Caenorhabditis elegans: one gene and its partners. The protein of the gene in region 2 interacts with the protein of the main gene of each other region in a pairwise test. Each region holds a gene or a part of one and is shown on either strand. Other genes may lie near its edges.

The links.
Region 1: the proteins of asp-2 (region 2) and uaf-1 interact in a two-hybrid assay, tested with the Caenorhabditis elegans proteins (one large-scale study listed by BioGRID).
Region 3: the proteins of asp-2 (region 2) and mes-4 interact in a two-hybrid assay, tested with the Caenorhabditis elegans proteins (one large-scale study listed by BioGRID).

Annotation. Positions count from the first base shown.
Region 1 is NC_003281.10:1,073,552-1,078,275, forward strand, and holds the start of uaf-1 (Splicing factor U2AF 65 kDa subunit), read right to left. Parts: upstream 3,005-4,724; coding exon 2,775-3,004; intron 925-2,774; coding exon 629-924; intron 1-628. UniProt on the Caenorhabditis elegans protein: Necessary for the splicing of pre-mRNA. Binds to the polypyrimidine tract of introns early during spliceosome assembly.
Region 2 is NC_003283.11:9,201,471-9,205,224, reverse strand, and holds asp-2 (Peptidase A1 domain-containing protein), read right to left. Parts: upstream 2,149-3,754; 5' UTR 2,147-2,148; coding exon 1,786-2,146; intron 1,578-1,785; coding exon 706-1,577; intron 637-705; coding exon 580-636; 3' UTR 527-579; downstream 1-526. Other genes in the region: inx-10 (Innexin-10), read left to right, coding at 24-309.
Region 3 is NC_003283.11:13,432,546-13,439,226, forward strand, and holds mes-4 (Histone-lysine N-methyltransferase mes-4), read right to left. Parts: upstream 5,001-6,681; 5' UTR 4,969-5,000; coding exon 4,953-4,968; intron 4,904-4,952; coding exon 4,637-4,903; intron 4,586-4,636; coding exon 4,329-4,585; intron 4,280-4,328; coding exon 3,705-4,279; intron 3,657-3,704; coding exon 3,353-3,656; intron 2,923-3,352; coding exon 2,572-2,922; intron 2,294-2,571; coding exon 1,892-2,293; intron 1,839-1,891; coding exon 1,707-1,838; intron 1,342-1,706; coding exon 1,189-1,341; intron 1,137-1,188; coding exon 897-1,136; 3' UTR 505-896; downstream 1-504. Other genes in the region: srd-17 (Serpentine Receptor, class D (Delta)), read right to left, coding at 1-169. UniProt on the Caenorhabditis elegans protein: Histone methyltransferase. Dimethylates 'Lys-36' of histone H3, a specific tag for epigenetic transcriptional activation. Plays a central role in early development and is responsible for all H3 'Lys-36' dimethylation until about the 40-cell stage.

The DNA.
Region 1 (4,724 bases), on a different chromosome or scaffold from region 2:
CAATTTTTATTGAATTTTTCAGAGTTTTCAGTGAAAAAATCCAATTTTTCCGAATTTTCAGTAAAAAATCCAATTTTTCCGATTTTTCAGTGAAAAATTCAAATTTTCCCGAATTTTCACGTGAAAAACGGCAATTTTCACGAATTTTCCCGAGTTTTTAGTAAAAATATCCAATTTTTATTGAATTTTCGATGAAAAATTCGAATTTTTCCGAATTTTCGATGAAAAATTCGAATTTTTCCGAATTTTCAGTGAAAAAATCGAATTTTCTCGAATTTTCAGTGAAAACTGCCAATTTTCTCGAATTTTTCCGAATTTTCAGTGAAAACTGCCAATTTTCTCGAATTTTTCCGAATTTTCAGGCAAAAACTGCCAATTTTCTCGAATTTTTCCGAATTTTCAGTGAAAACTGCCAATTTTCTCGAATTTTTCCGAATTTTCAGTGAAAACTGCCAATTTTCTCGAATTTTTCCGAATTTTCAGTGAAAACTGCCAATTTTCTCGAATTTTTCCGAATTTTCAGTGAAAACTGCCAATTTTCTCGAATTTTTCCGAATTTTCAGGCAAAAACCGCCAATTTTCTCGAATTTTTCCGAATTGTCAGGCGAAAAATTCCATTTTTCCGTACCAACAACGGGCACTGCAGACTGTACAGATCCACGTGGAACCTGTCCAGCCGCCTGCATATTCTTGTACTCCATCGGTGTAGTTGTCTCGAATCCAGTCGGCGGAACATCCCAGAATCGGTACTTTTTGGGCTCACGAGGCTTCTGGGGCTCCGGCTCACGGCGCGAACGGGCTTCATCATCACCTCCACGACGTCTCGGCTCATCACGACCACCACCGCCTCGACGACGTTCACGGGATCGAGAACGATCACGATCACCTCCACCTCCACCACCACGACGTTCTCCACGATCACGACTGAAAATGGGGGGTTTTTGGGGTTTTTTGCCGGGAAAAATCGATTTTTTTGCGATTTTTTAGGTTAAAAAATGCGGATTTTCAGTGACTTTCAGCTAAAATCGCAATTTTCCAGTGTAAAAATCGATTTTTTTTGCAATTTTTTGGCTAGAAAAATTGCAATTTTTGGCAGTTTCGCAGGTTTTTGGCGGGAAAAATCGATTTTTTCGCGATTTTTTGGCTAGAAAAATGAGTTTTCATGCAGAAAAATTGCAATTTTTGGCAGTTTCGCAGGTTTTTGGCGGGAAAAATCGATTTTCTCGCGATTTTTTGGCTAGAAAAATGAGTTTTCATGCAGAAAAATTGCAATTTTTGGCAGCTTCGCAGGTTTTTGGCGGGAAAAATCGATTTTTTGCGATTTTTTAGGTTAAAAAATGCGGATTTTCAGTGATTTTCAGCTAAAATCGCAATTTTCCAGGGGAAAAATCGATTTTTGCGCACTTTTTTGGCTAGAAAAATGAGTTTTCATGCAGAAAAATTGCAATTTTTGTCAGATTCGCGCAGGTTTTTGGAAGGAAAAATCGATTTTTTAAGTTAAAAATGTAAATTTTCGCAATTTTCCACTGGAAATTCGATTTTTCGCCAACTTTTGGACAGAAAATTTGACTTTTCCGTGGAAACTCAGCTAAAATTGCGATTTTTTGAAGGTTTTTGGGCGGAAAGATGGATTTTTCGCAAATTTTTGGACAGAAAAACCATTCTTATTGCGTTTTTCAGTACAATTTGAGTAAAAACCGCCACTTTTTATTGTAAAAATTCAAAATTTTTAGGTAAAATTTGACCAAAGAACGCAATTTTCCACTGGAAAATCGATTTTTTGCGGTTTTTTGGACAGAAAATTAGACTTTTCAATGGAAATTCAGCTAAAATTGGGACTTTTTGGAGGTTTTTGGGCGGAAAAATGCGAATTTTTTTGGTGGAATTTAATTAAAAAATCTATTTTTGGCGAGTTTTTGAACAGGAAAATGGATTTTATCGTTACTTTTTAGGTTAAAAAAATGGGAATTTTCGTGGGAAATTTAGCTAAAATTGCGATTTCTCGCTTCCACGACTGAAAATTTCGGGGTTTTCGGCAGGAAAAATCGATATTTTACAACTTTTTAGGTTAAAAAATGGGAATTTTCGGTGGAATTTGACCAAAAAACGCAATTTTCCAACTGAAAATCGAATTTTTGCAAACTTTTGGACAGAAAATTTGACTTTTCCGTGGAAATTCAGCTAAAATTGCAATTTTTTGGAGGTTTTTGGAAGGAAAAATCGATTTTTTGCGATTTTTCAAAGTAAAAAATGCGAATTTTCGGTGGATTTTCAGCTAAAATTGCATCTTTTCCGCTTTTCCTGTGAAAAAATCGATTTTTCATAGATTTTTGGCAAAGAAAATGAAAATTTTGGTGGATTTCTTCAAGCAAAAATCGATTTTTTAAAGAGTTTTTTGGCAGGAAAAATGGGATTTTCGGTAGTGTTTTTCATGGAAAATCATCAAATTTCGCTCTGAAAATCCGATTTTGGGTCAATTTTCTTCAAATTTAGACCATTTTCTAGCGGAAAACTCGATTTTCGCAGAGTTTTCGACGAAAATCCTCGAATTTTTGCTCTAAAAATGTTGATTTTCTGGGTTTGAAGTCATTTTTAAGCCGTTTTTCATGCAAAAAGCGATTTTCAGCGTAATTCTGGCCAAAAAAAAACAAAATTTCCTCCTAAAAATCCGATTTTGGGTCAATTTTCTAGCGGAAAACTCGATTTTCGCCGAGTTTTCCACGAAAATTCTCGAATATTCCGTCAAAAAATGCAATTTTTTCCAGCTTAAGCACCTTCTCGAGCGTCTTCTCGTATCGCGATCTCTACTTCTCGATCGTTTTCTCTTTTTCCGATCATTATCATCCTCTCCACCACCACCACCAGTCGATGATTTCAGATTTTCTTCATTTTCCAGTGGTCCAGTGGTCGGCTGAATCGCTTCGAGACCTCCTTCACGTTGAGCAACGTCCAAAAATTGGCGTTCAATATCTTCAAGTTTCATGCCATCCTGGTGATCACTCATCTGGAAAATTGGGAATTTTCTTTAAAAAATAGAGCTGAAAATCCGGAGAAAATGGATGGAAAAATTTGAAAATTTGGGCAGAGGTTCCCCGGGAAAGTGGTCAAATGTGCTCCTGTGAGCAATTTCGGGTGGAAAATTCCAAAATTTTGTAATTTCTAATGCAAAAGTTTGGAATTTTCACACCAAAATCACCGATAGAGCACATTTGCCACGGAAAATTGAATTTTAATCTGAGAGTTTAGCACATTTTTGCGAGAAAAACTGAAAAAAAAATTTTGCAGTTTTCTGAGTAAAATTGGTTAATTTTTTCAGGATTTTCCTGAATTTTGGGCTCCGAGAGCATTTTTGGATACTAATTCCACATTTTTCAATTTTTCTCGAATTTTCACGTGAAAAACGGCAATTTTCACGAATTTTCCCGAGTTTTTAGTAAAAATATCCAATTTTTATTGAATTTTTCAGAGTTTTCAGTGAAAAATTCCAATTTTTCCGAATTTTCTGAAAAAAAAAACCGAAAATTCGGAGAAATTCACGAAAAAATGGGTTTTTTTAATGGAAAAATAGCTGAAAATTCGGTGGAAATCGCGAAAAAATGAGTTTCTCTGAAAAAAAAAATAGCCGAAAATCAGGGGAAAACCGCGGAAAAATGGAGACAATTGGGCGAAAATGAGGAAATTTGGCGATTTTTTGGAAAAATCGTTGAAAATTCGGTGGAAATCGCGAAAAAATGGAGGTTTTTCTGAAAAAATAGCTGAAAAACCCGACAAAATGGCGAAAATATGGAAAAAAATAGGGTGAAAGTGAGAAAATTTGGAGTTTTTCTGGAAAAAATTGCTCAAAATCGCGAAAAAATGGAGAAAATTGGACGAAAATGAGGAAATTTGGTGATTTTTTAAAAAATTGCTTAAAATTCGGTGAAAATGCTGGAAAAATAGCTCCAAAACGATAAATTGTGAGAAAATAAACGGTATTTGAGTGAATTTGCCGAAAAAATAGGAGTTTTTCTGGAAAAAATAGCTGAAAATCCCGAGAAAATGGCGAAAATATGGAATAAAAAGGTTGGAAATGAAGAAATTTGGGGTTTTTTGGCGAAAAATTGTTTAAAATTCGGGAAAAACCGCGAAAAAATGGAGAAAATAGGTTGGAAATGAGGAAATTTGGTGATTTTTTTACGAAAAAAAAAGAAAATTCGGTGAAAATGCTGGAAAAAAGAGCTCCTCGCTAAAATAGGCGAAATTTGAGTGAATTTGCCGGAAAAAACTGAGATTTTTCTGATAAAATAGCTGAAAATTCGGTGAAAATCGATAAAAAATAGCTTAAATGATGAAAAATCGCTGAAAAATGAGATTTTGCTGAAAAATAGGTAGAATCTATAAAATTTCGGGGAAAATGATGGAAATAATAGAAAAATGGGTAAAAGCACACACAAAATTAGGCTGAAAATCAATAAAATTAGGTGAAAAATGACAAAAATCTCCCAAAAAAATCGATAAAAAAATAGCTGAAAATCTGCAAAAAATCGATGAAGATATGCTGAAAATCGCTGAAAACGAGAGAAAAAATAACACAAAAATCCAATAAATTACAGGAAAAATGTTGCAATTTTATAGCAAAAAAACGGGGCTTAAAGGCACTGAAAATGTGTGAAATTTGACAAGAATTATGTGAAATTGGGGGATTTTCGGGTGGTTTTTTGTACAATTTAGCGGGGAAAATGGAC
Region 2 (3,754 bases):
AATTTTAATTTTTTTATTTTCAGAAACCGACAGCCAATTGCGGTTCAAGCATCTTATATTGACGATGAATCCGACGGAAAATTGAAAAACGAGGAGAAGCAGAATCAACAAAATGCTACTCAACCACCTTACTGTTACACAAATCAGAACCCAACTCCCTACCAAAATCAAAATCAAATTCAGAACCAAAACCAGTATTCAAATTATTATCGTACACCAAGTCTTTCAAGAGGAACGGATAGCCGTCCTGTGTCCACTGCAACTGACACTGACCAAACCAAAAAACAATCGATGAGTACATTCAAATAATTCTCTCATTTCAGTTCACATTTCCCATGACCCAGTTATATTTTGATCTAAACTCGTGAATCTGCGGTTTTGCAGTCTAATCTCTACCTCTTCCCGTTTCTAGTTCCGTTTTGTTGTATTTAATACCTTCGTGTTCTTCCCGGTAATTACACATTATCATTTTTGTTCACAATTCGCATATCTCACAATTCACTTTTCACTCCAAACAAAAAATATGTTGACCAAATTTATGCATAATGAACATAATATTAATATTGACGGCGTTAAAATTTATTTCGATTGGAGGGACTTAGCAAATCCAACACGTTGAGTTCCAACATCATAGATCTGAAAATTTCAACTTTTAAATTAAAAAAAATTATGTCGTTTTTTTATTAGGTTTCGTTGTGTACTTACGTTACAATATTGACGAATGAATGGATCTCCAAGAATCCATGATGGTCCAAAACCTCCACTGCTGAATGGGAAGATGGCGTAGATGCAATTGTTGCTTCCATCTCCGAGTGGAATAATGGTGTTGGATGAGTCAATATTGTATACTTGGTTTCCAATGGTGATATCAAGAGTGTTGATCTTTGCAGAGCATGGAAGGATGTATACACCGTAATCATCTCTCCATGTGGCTCCAACAGCGTCAGCAATAGCAGAAACGTAGGCCTTTGGTCCTCCGATGAGAGAAGTTCCGGTGTCGGAGATGACTTGCCATCCCTTGCTAGAGTGATAGCTTCCAGATCCAATAGCACTCATCTTGAATTGGTAATAAGTGGCAGAGGACAATGGTTGATAAGCGATAACTGGACCACAGTTCTTTGTATCAATTCCTCCATAAGTGTAGACTCCTCCTTGAACTCCGTTTTGATCTCCTTCATGCTCAAGGAAGACGGTGAAAAGTGGAAGATCAACAAGGTTTTGGTTGATGGCGTTGATGAATGGTGGAGTGATTTGATCAACAGCAATCGATTTGAACGCAAGTCCAAGGATTCCATCAAGAGGTTGTCCCTCGAAGAAGGCAGCAAGTGAGGTGGCTTGTCCGAAAACAGTGTTTGGAACAGCGAGTTGTGGTTCTCCAATTCCTCCGAAGGTGATAGTGTCCTGTCCAAGGAATCCTCTGGCGGATCCTGTTCCATACTCAATAATGAAGTTTCTTCCATTGGTCTTGTATGAGGAAGATTTGGAAGCGTCAAACTTGTTTTGGTAGAAGCAAGAATCGGTGTAGTTCGCTCCAGCTCCACAGCAAGCTTGGTCGTCGCATTCGAATTGGCAAATAACTATAAAATAATTGCAATTAATGCATCAAATTGTACAATTGCATGAGAGCAAAATTCAAGAAATGAACTTTAATACCACACGAGACTACATTGCAGTTTAATAGTTCCATAGAAATACGCGTATACTTCAAAAGAGACATTTGACAGCTAGATAAGGCAATAAATTTTTCAACTTTTCAACGACACATATTATGATTTGAAAACTTACTTCCACGGCAAGCTGGAACGGTTGAGCAATTTTCTGGCTTAGTTCCACATGTGATGTCTGGGATCCAAAGATTGGATGATCCAGTATCAAGAATAACCTTGAATTGTTGTTGTGGAGTTCCAATGGTGATGTTTCCGACGTATGCTTCATCTTCGTAATCGTTGACGTATTGTCCAACAGACATATCATTTGATTGCTTGTTCATCATGAAACGACGAATCTCACGATCCTTTCTGTACTGAACCCATCTTCCTTCACGGATCAATCGGTTTCTGTATGGCTCAATTTTCACGAGTGGAACTTGCACAACTGCAGCGAGAGCTGCTGCCACAAGGGCAAGCAACAAAAAAAGGTTCTGCATACCTGAAATGATTTTGATTTGGAAAATGGACTAGAATTGAAAGTAGCAGGAACGAAAACGAGGAAAGTGAAATGAGTTGATGCTGAACTAAAATGAATTGCATAACGAAAACGGTTATCTTAATGAGGTGGGCATTGACGCGGAGAAACTATTGATAAGTGCTCGTAAACTGTAAGATAAGAGACAAATCCGGTGTAATGAAAGGACATCAAAGTTGAGAATCAGCCTGAAAATGTATTTTTACAAATGATATCAGTTTCGCTTGACTCTAAAATGATGTAGTAACGAAAAGACGGACTTCCAGAACAAGTAACAATTTTCAAGCATACATAGACATTTCGAACCATCCTAAAGTTTTTATTATTGAATGTATACCAACTTTATTTGTTGAATTATGTTTATATTTTAGTTCAATTAACTTTACAATTATTAGTAGACGTAAAAACATGAAAAGCTTTTATGATATATAAATTTAATGCAAGCTGGCAGAAAATGCGATTTGTTGGTTTCCCATATCATACAATGCACAAAGTCGCGAATAAATGGACTCCCTAGCACCCACGATGGCCCGAATCCGTTATTTGTAAATGGCAGGAAGACCATTTGACAAGTTTGAACAATGCTGTCAGCTGAAGTACAATCGATATTGGTTATTATTTAAGAAAACTTACGGAACGGAAGAATGAGGTTTTGAGGAGAAACTTGGTAAATTGTACTACCAATTGTGAAGTTAACTTAAAGAATTTTTGGCTCGCAATCAATTAGATAAACTTCGTTTTTTGAATCCCACTGAAATTTTACATAACTTGGAAGAATATGCTATTGCAATTTAATCATACAGTGGCTCCTGCTGCATCAGCAATTCCAGCCACGATAGCTTTGGGTCCATAGATAATAGAGCTTGCTGTATCTGATAAAGCAGTCCATCCATTCCTTGCAGAATAAGCTCCGGACGATACTGACGTCATCTGAAATGATCTTGTGATTTGTCTTTAAAACTGTTGTATACTTTCAAGCCGACTTACATAAAACTGATAAGCAGCACCTGTCGTCAATGGGTGATACTGTTTTACTTTTGCACAGTTCTGAGTATCTTGTCCGCCAAAAGTGATTTGTCCAGCTCTATTTGGACGATTCCCAAGATAAACATGAAATATTGGATCAACCAGTTTCTGCAGTCAAATATTTTTTTGACAGAAACAAGATTCCATTTTTTTAAACTTCTTGCTAAAACTTGTGTTTTCTTCTAAAAATTAAAACGCTAACTTGCCCAACTGCATTAACAAACGGAGGATAAATATTTTGTTGTGAATTAGCTAAGAATCCGAGACCCATGATTCCATCGATATCTTCCTATAAATAAAATAATTGTTATGATACAATTTAAAGTTTTTACATATTTTTAATAGCTGAAAAGTTGAGATCCATTAAAAACTACGACCTGCTCAAAAAATGAAGGAATGCACACTGCTGTAGCAACAACAGTGTCTGGAACAATCAATTGACTTTCAGATATTCCACCAAATGAAACAGTATCAAATCCCAGAATACCACTGGCACTGTCGGAACCGTACTAAAAACAAATTGATTTTAAAGATTTTTGACTCA
Region 3 (6,681 bases), 4.2 Mb from region 2:
AATCCAAAGCACACTCGAAAAAGTCGGTAACAGCAAAATTGATAATCAAAGTTGCATACGAACGAATTGTCTTCGGTGATTTATAGATAGCCATGTAAATGAGCATTAAATTGAATGAGCATCCAAGTAAAGCCCATATACAGTGCCATATTTCAAAGAACGCGTGCATTATTGAATTGGCAAATGGTGCAAGACTGAAATTTTTAGAATTTTGTCGTATAACAAGCGAACATAAAATAATTAATGAATGAATTATCGCTTCCGCTCAAATGGTTTCAGTCTTCTTTCAAGAAGTCTATCCGAAGATCCTTTGTTATTGTGCATAGGGAAATTAAATGACACGTGGTTTCTCAATAATGTGCATTTTTTTACTTCCGAATCAAAATCTTTAGCAGTGATTCATCGACTCCAATGTCTTTTTTCAAAACAAGTCGTTCCATTGTGTTCTTCTTAATCTTCTCCAGTTTCTCTTTATCGTCATAAAGCAGCGCTTAACTCTGTTTTGTAATTTGCAAAGGTATTTATTACAGATGAGAAAAAAAAGTCGTATTTATCGATATGATGGGACGCAGTAACAAGAACGAAAGAACACATAGGGAAAAAAAAATGACAAGTGAATGAAAGCAATGGTTAAAGCAATAATAAAACCCCTAGTTTAGTGTGAAAATAATTTTCAAAAAAGATGAATAGGAAAGTCTTCGTTATTCTTTGAACGTTGGTCAAATGAATTTCAGCGTTTCCAAAAATTGTGTCGACAGTCCAGGAAAAACTCATAGTACGATTAAAAAGAATGAGGGCACTGTTGATTGAAACTAATTGAAGTAAAATCATAATTTAGTACTTGGAAGACTATTGGAAAGAGTTCAATTGGGCGAGACAGCATATTATTTCACTTTTCAAATCGGTTCAAACCGTTTTGTCTCTTTTTGAACTCGTCCACGAGTAGATATTGCTCTAACTTTGACCTCCACAGTATGAGGTGATGGAACTGATTGTGTCGACAACGCTCGTGCTTTTGTGATAGCCGACTTGGTTGCAGGAAACTCTATCGCTTTTCCGGTTTCTTGAATTGTTTGCAATGATGGCGTAGCTCGTTTCACAGGTGGCGCTTCACTTTCCACATCATCTCGACGGCTCTGTGAATATAATCGAATATAATCGATATTAATACTAATATGATTATCGTACCTTTGATTTTTGTGCCCGTGGTGTTGAAGATGAAGCTGCGCGCGATCGCGATGAAACAGGGCTCAAGAGTTCTTGCGGTTTTTCGTGGAAATTCAACTCTGTAGATGTACTCAATGTTGATCCGGTGTCGGCTACAGGTTGATTGGAATTCTTCTGAAAAACAAATTATGTTTAATGGCTATGTACCTGAATTGAAAATTCGATTTAGACCAAGTTAACTCTAGCAACCAAGGGTGCCATCAAAAATCGAATAATTAAAATTTTCTATTTCCGAAAAAACTCGAAAAAAATGTTTTAAAAATTAACCATAAAGTTCTTTTTTTTTAAAATCAAATTATGTTTATGTTGATGAATAAAATAAGAAAACATTTTTTTAAATTTCTCTCTAAAAAGAAGAACAATTACAAAATTTTTGAAAGATATTTTTCGTGAAAACGAACATTTTCGATTTTAGTGAAAAATCGAAAAACCGACATCATTGCTGGCAGCAATTGATCGATTTAATCTCCAAAAAATACCTTTAAATTTTTCTTATTCTGGGAAATTGGCCATGATGCTTGTTGGACGAAGGAAGTGCTCGACGCGGAGCTTGTGGATGGTTTCGAAGGAGAAATTTCTGATTTCTTAGATGCGGTTCCGTTCTTTCCGGCCTGAAAATAAGAAATAAAATCAAAATGTTGAAACTTAGAAAAAAAGTTGGTACCTCCTGGCTCTTTCTATTCTGATTTTTTACAGATTTCTTCTTGGACGATTTGTTCTTTTTAGCAGCTTTCTCGGAACTATCAGCCACTTCCGGTTTCTCGCGTTTCGCTTTTCCCATTGTACCCATACAGTTTTCAGCTCCACATTCACAGTCTGGTAAGTTCTCCTCATTGTTCATATTGTAACTGAACGTGATCTCGTCGCCGTCGTCAATAGTGCGAATTGCCCGAATATAACTGCGAGTATCATATAAACTGCCTTCTTTGGTTTTCTTAACGAACACTTTTGTAACGAAAGATGCAGCGTTGGGATCGCAAGAATGATTGATGTATCTGGAGATGTTACCGTATCTGGCAGCGTCCACGGTTAATCCTTTGTGCAATTCCATCATATAATGGTTCGCCTTGAAAAAAAAGAGTATTTGGAAAGTTATACGTTGATAACTTAACTCTGATATTTTGCTTCTTAGACCTAAATAGCCCAAATCTACCAAATTTCGTATTTTTTTCTGAAAATGACAATTGGCAAAATATAAAATTTTAGCTGGAAATAGGCATTTTCCCAAAACTTTGAATCGCCGTAACTTTTTTTTGAGAAAATTTCAGAACGTTTTGTTCTAAAATTCGGTTAAAAGAAAAAGTAAAAATTCGTGTTTTTATCGCAAAAAAACTTTTTCCTTACCTGGAAATCTCGCGAAATTGAAACCGAATCCAAGCGCCTCTTCTTTTCAGCTTTATCGATTATTTCTCCAACGTACTCGCATATGTATTCGTCTTTTTCGATTTGACCTTTCGCAAAGACACCGTATCCTTTACACAAAGTGGCTGCCAGTTTGATTTTCTCGCTAACTATTCCCATGGAAACTTGACGATTATGACAAACGCCCTTTTTCGAACAACTCGGGGGACATTCATAATCATCGGCGAGATATTGACACGACAGCTTTGTACAGCGGTCAGCTCCTTCACAATTGCAAACTTCGTTGTTGTGATACTCTTCCAGTTTTGGTTCGCATTTGTAGTACACAGATGTCTGGAATTATGAAGAAATTGCTATAAATAAATCTGAATCGGTTAAAAGTAAGAAAATAATTGTTAAGTTTTTCGGCAATTTTTAGCTGAATTTTTCTGCAGCACTGTTTGCACTTTTGTCCCAAAATGGTCTAAAACTACCAAATTTCGTAATGAGACATTCTCATTTTCCTCCAAAAAGAAGTTAGACGGTTCAAAATTTTGGAAAAAAATGACATTTTTTCAGCTAAAATCTCAAATATTGCAGATCTGACAAATTTCAGAACTTTTTTGTTTTTTTAATTTTTTAAAAGTAATGTTCCGTTGGTTGAGATATTAACTTTCGTCGGTTCCGCAATTTTAGCTGAATAAAAGCCTTTTTCCAAACCGTTGAAAAATACAAAACCATAGTCCGAATTAGATATTTCCTGAAGAATCAGTAGAATACTCACTCTCAGTCTTCCAAATACAGTTTTACACACGTACGGGCATCTCTTCAACGCAGTATCTGCTTGTTCCTCATATTTCTCTTCCCACAAGTTTCTAAGCGTCGAATTCTTTGCCAACGAAAAGTAATTCTTGGTAAGACGGGCGATATCCGAGACCGGCACAATTGACATGAGAGGTTGTTTCTCTTTATCATTTTCTTGGGGTATCAGCCACTGGACAACAGTATATCCAAGACGTTCAAAGTTGATATTACCACGATTTCCAGTAGGGTACTTGTACCAATCGAGTGTTAATGCTAGCCAGAATCTGAATAGAAAATACATGAATTTGATAATTCTGATATTATAAACGCACGAATTGTCCGTCCACTTCGCGAGAATCAATGTATTTTGCGGAATCGGATCTCCACAAACACACGATTCGCATTGATCGTCTGGTATCGGTTTTCCATTCAGCGTTTCCACTTCTCGACATCCAGAATGAAACGATCGGCAACAAGTCTTGCACATGATTGTTTTTGAATTCGAAGATTTCTCACATCCAATTACGCAACACGCTTTGATATGGGATTTCATTGTAACATCCGCTTTCGGAACAACAGTGACGGCGTTTTTTCTTTTTTTATGTTTATTGTAGAATTGAACATCAGCACCAGGTAGATAGTGTGCTGGACAAATTATCATTTCGAACTTCTCCACTTTCCCACCAATTGTTATCGAAACATTCAAATCTCGGCCACCTGATGGATAACACGACGTCAAATGGAAAGCGCGGAGACAGAGAGCACATTCTGCAATATCTCCAACATAAGCCGATTGCTTGTGATGGTCCAAATTGCAACTATTGCAGCAATGAAGAGGGCACAGAAGTCTTGCTTGGCATTCGAGTCGGGCTGCATATTGAAAGTGAAAGCCGCCACTGTTGTAATTCTAAAAGTTTACACGATATTTGATGAAGAAAAATAATCGAATAGCTTACGATCATACAACTCGCGTGAAATTTACTACGACAAGGAAACATTGGTATATTTCCCAAGAGACGCTTGCCGTCGTCCATTTCTCCATTGATGTATCCATGACATGTGATCAAATCAGATTTTCCGGTTTTATCCTTCTCTTCGTGGCAAATCACGCATTTTGAGTCAGCATCTGGAAGAAACTCTCCTTCCGCGTCGGCTTCAATCGGGGTGAATGGCGAAACACTCAGAAACTTTCGTGGCACGTGGGTGAAGGTAGCTGGAAAATTGAAAATTTAATGGACTGCCTGGAATTAATTAATGAAAATACTTTTTGGATAATCTGTGTCAACGAACTCCTCATATTCACTAAGAAATGCCTTCGTTTCCTGTATTTGCATCGAAATAATGTCTTTGGGAGCATTCGTTAGAATCGGTGCTTCTTCTTGCTTGTCTTCTGCATTGGATGAGGTTTCGGAACCCGCGCCTTGTGGAGTAGCATTCCGTTGTTTAACGTTCTTCTTTTTAAAAGGTTTATTTGGTCCTTCTTTCTCAACGATACCGTCCTGTGGAGCACAGTTCTCTTTGCTGGAGTCACCTGGAATTCGATGCATTTTTCGACCTGATTTTCGATTATTTAAACTCACCAGAGCTCGGCAGCATAATTTGGCACCAAGCGCGAGAAGTAAGCAACTCTGAAAATGAAATTAGAATATGAATCGACTTTTTGACAAGTATTAATAAAAGAAAAACAGAAAATGAGACGTTATTCAAGCTGATCGAGGACACATTCGAAAGTCGCGCCTTACAACGATACTCCAAAATGACGGAAGCGCGAATTGTTTAGTTTTTGAGAAATATATGCATTTTTAAAGGAAAACAGCGGAAAACTATCAAAACGGTGATTAATGGAGATTCTTAAGAAAAAAATTTATAATTGTGCGTCCATAGGCTGCGGAAAACGGGAATTTCCCGCGGTCCGAGGCGTCTACAGTGAGAGGGGAAAACGAGGGAGTTTTTCGCTTCGCAATTGGTCAGTTTCAAAAAATTGGGCGTTTCCAACGAATCAGAGGCTGCAAAATTTCAAGCTGAGCAATGAAAAAGCGAAAAACTGCAGGCCCCACCTACTTTTGAATTTTGATAGAAAAAAGGCGAAGAAACTGCACTATGGACGCCTCAGACCGCGAGAAATTTGAATTTCCGTTTTCCGCAAACTATGAACATTCCTTTTAAAAAATATGCCAAGAAGGTTCGAAATCACGGGAAATGCAAAGAAAATCGCTTGCAAAATCCCAAAAAATTGCTGCAAATTTGATTATGTAAATAAGGAGACCCGAAGAACTCGGGGGATGTCCAATTGGGGGGATTACCAACTCGGGGGATTGGCCCCGCCCACAGAACCGTGGCATGCAATACGCCCATTTCTGCAACTGCCGCACGGTTTTAAAACTGTATTTTTCTCAATAGAACGAGAAATAACAAGAAAAAATAATTTTAAAACCGTGCGGCAGTTGCAGAAATGGGCGTATTGCAAGCCACGGTTCTGTGGGCGGGGCCAATCCCCCGAGTTGGTAATCCCCCCAATTGGACATCCCCCGAGTTCTTCGGGTCTCCTATATTCACATCATTCTCGCCATACCTGTGCGGCATTCGGCATTCGGCATATGCCGATGCCGGCATAATGCCGGTTTTTGGAGCACGGCATATGCCGTTATGCCGATTTGAAAATTCACGGCATATGCCGAAAATGCCGTTATGCCGAAAAATAAAATGACCGGCATAACGGCATAATGCCGACATTATGACGGCATTATGTCGTTTTTTTCTGCATTTTTGGCTTTGTTGTTTTTTGTCAAAAACCATATTTTCATAATTTTCGTGTATCCGACGAAACATAAAGATCATGCAAATAGTAAAGTTTCTACGCAGATTGTTCCATTTTTGAGATTTCTTGAAGCTTTTTGCTCGAGCATTTGGAAAATTTCTGCAACAATTTTGGCTTGACTCGAAAATTGTCTGAAAATGCACCAATATGTTTCAAGGCGTGTACATTAAAGGGGGAGTACAGTTTGTGGGTATTTTGCTTAAATAGACTAAAACTGGTCCAAAACCACCGAATTTCATAATGAGACTTCACAAAAAATTTCCAAACATTTTTATGGCCGGTCAAATTTTCGAAAAAAAAAGAGCCAAACTTTGCTAAAATCTAAAATTTCGCACACTTTTCTTTGTCACAGCTGCTGAATTTCTGTTTTTCTGAAATTATCACCCTTTAATCCTTATTTTAGTAATTTATCTCGCGGAAATTCGTTGATTAAGACAACTTTTGGGCCGATAGGCATCCAAAAATGATCAAAATTGGATGCCTAGCGGCCC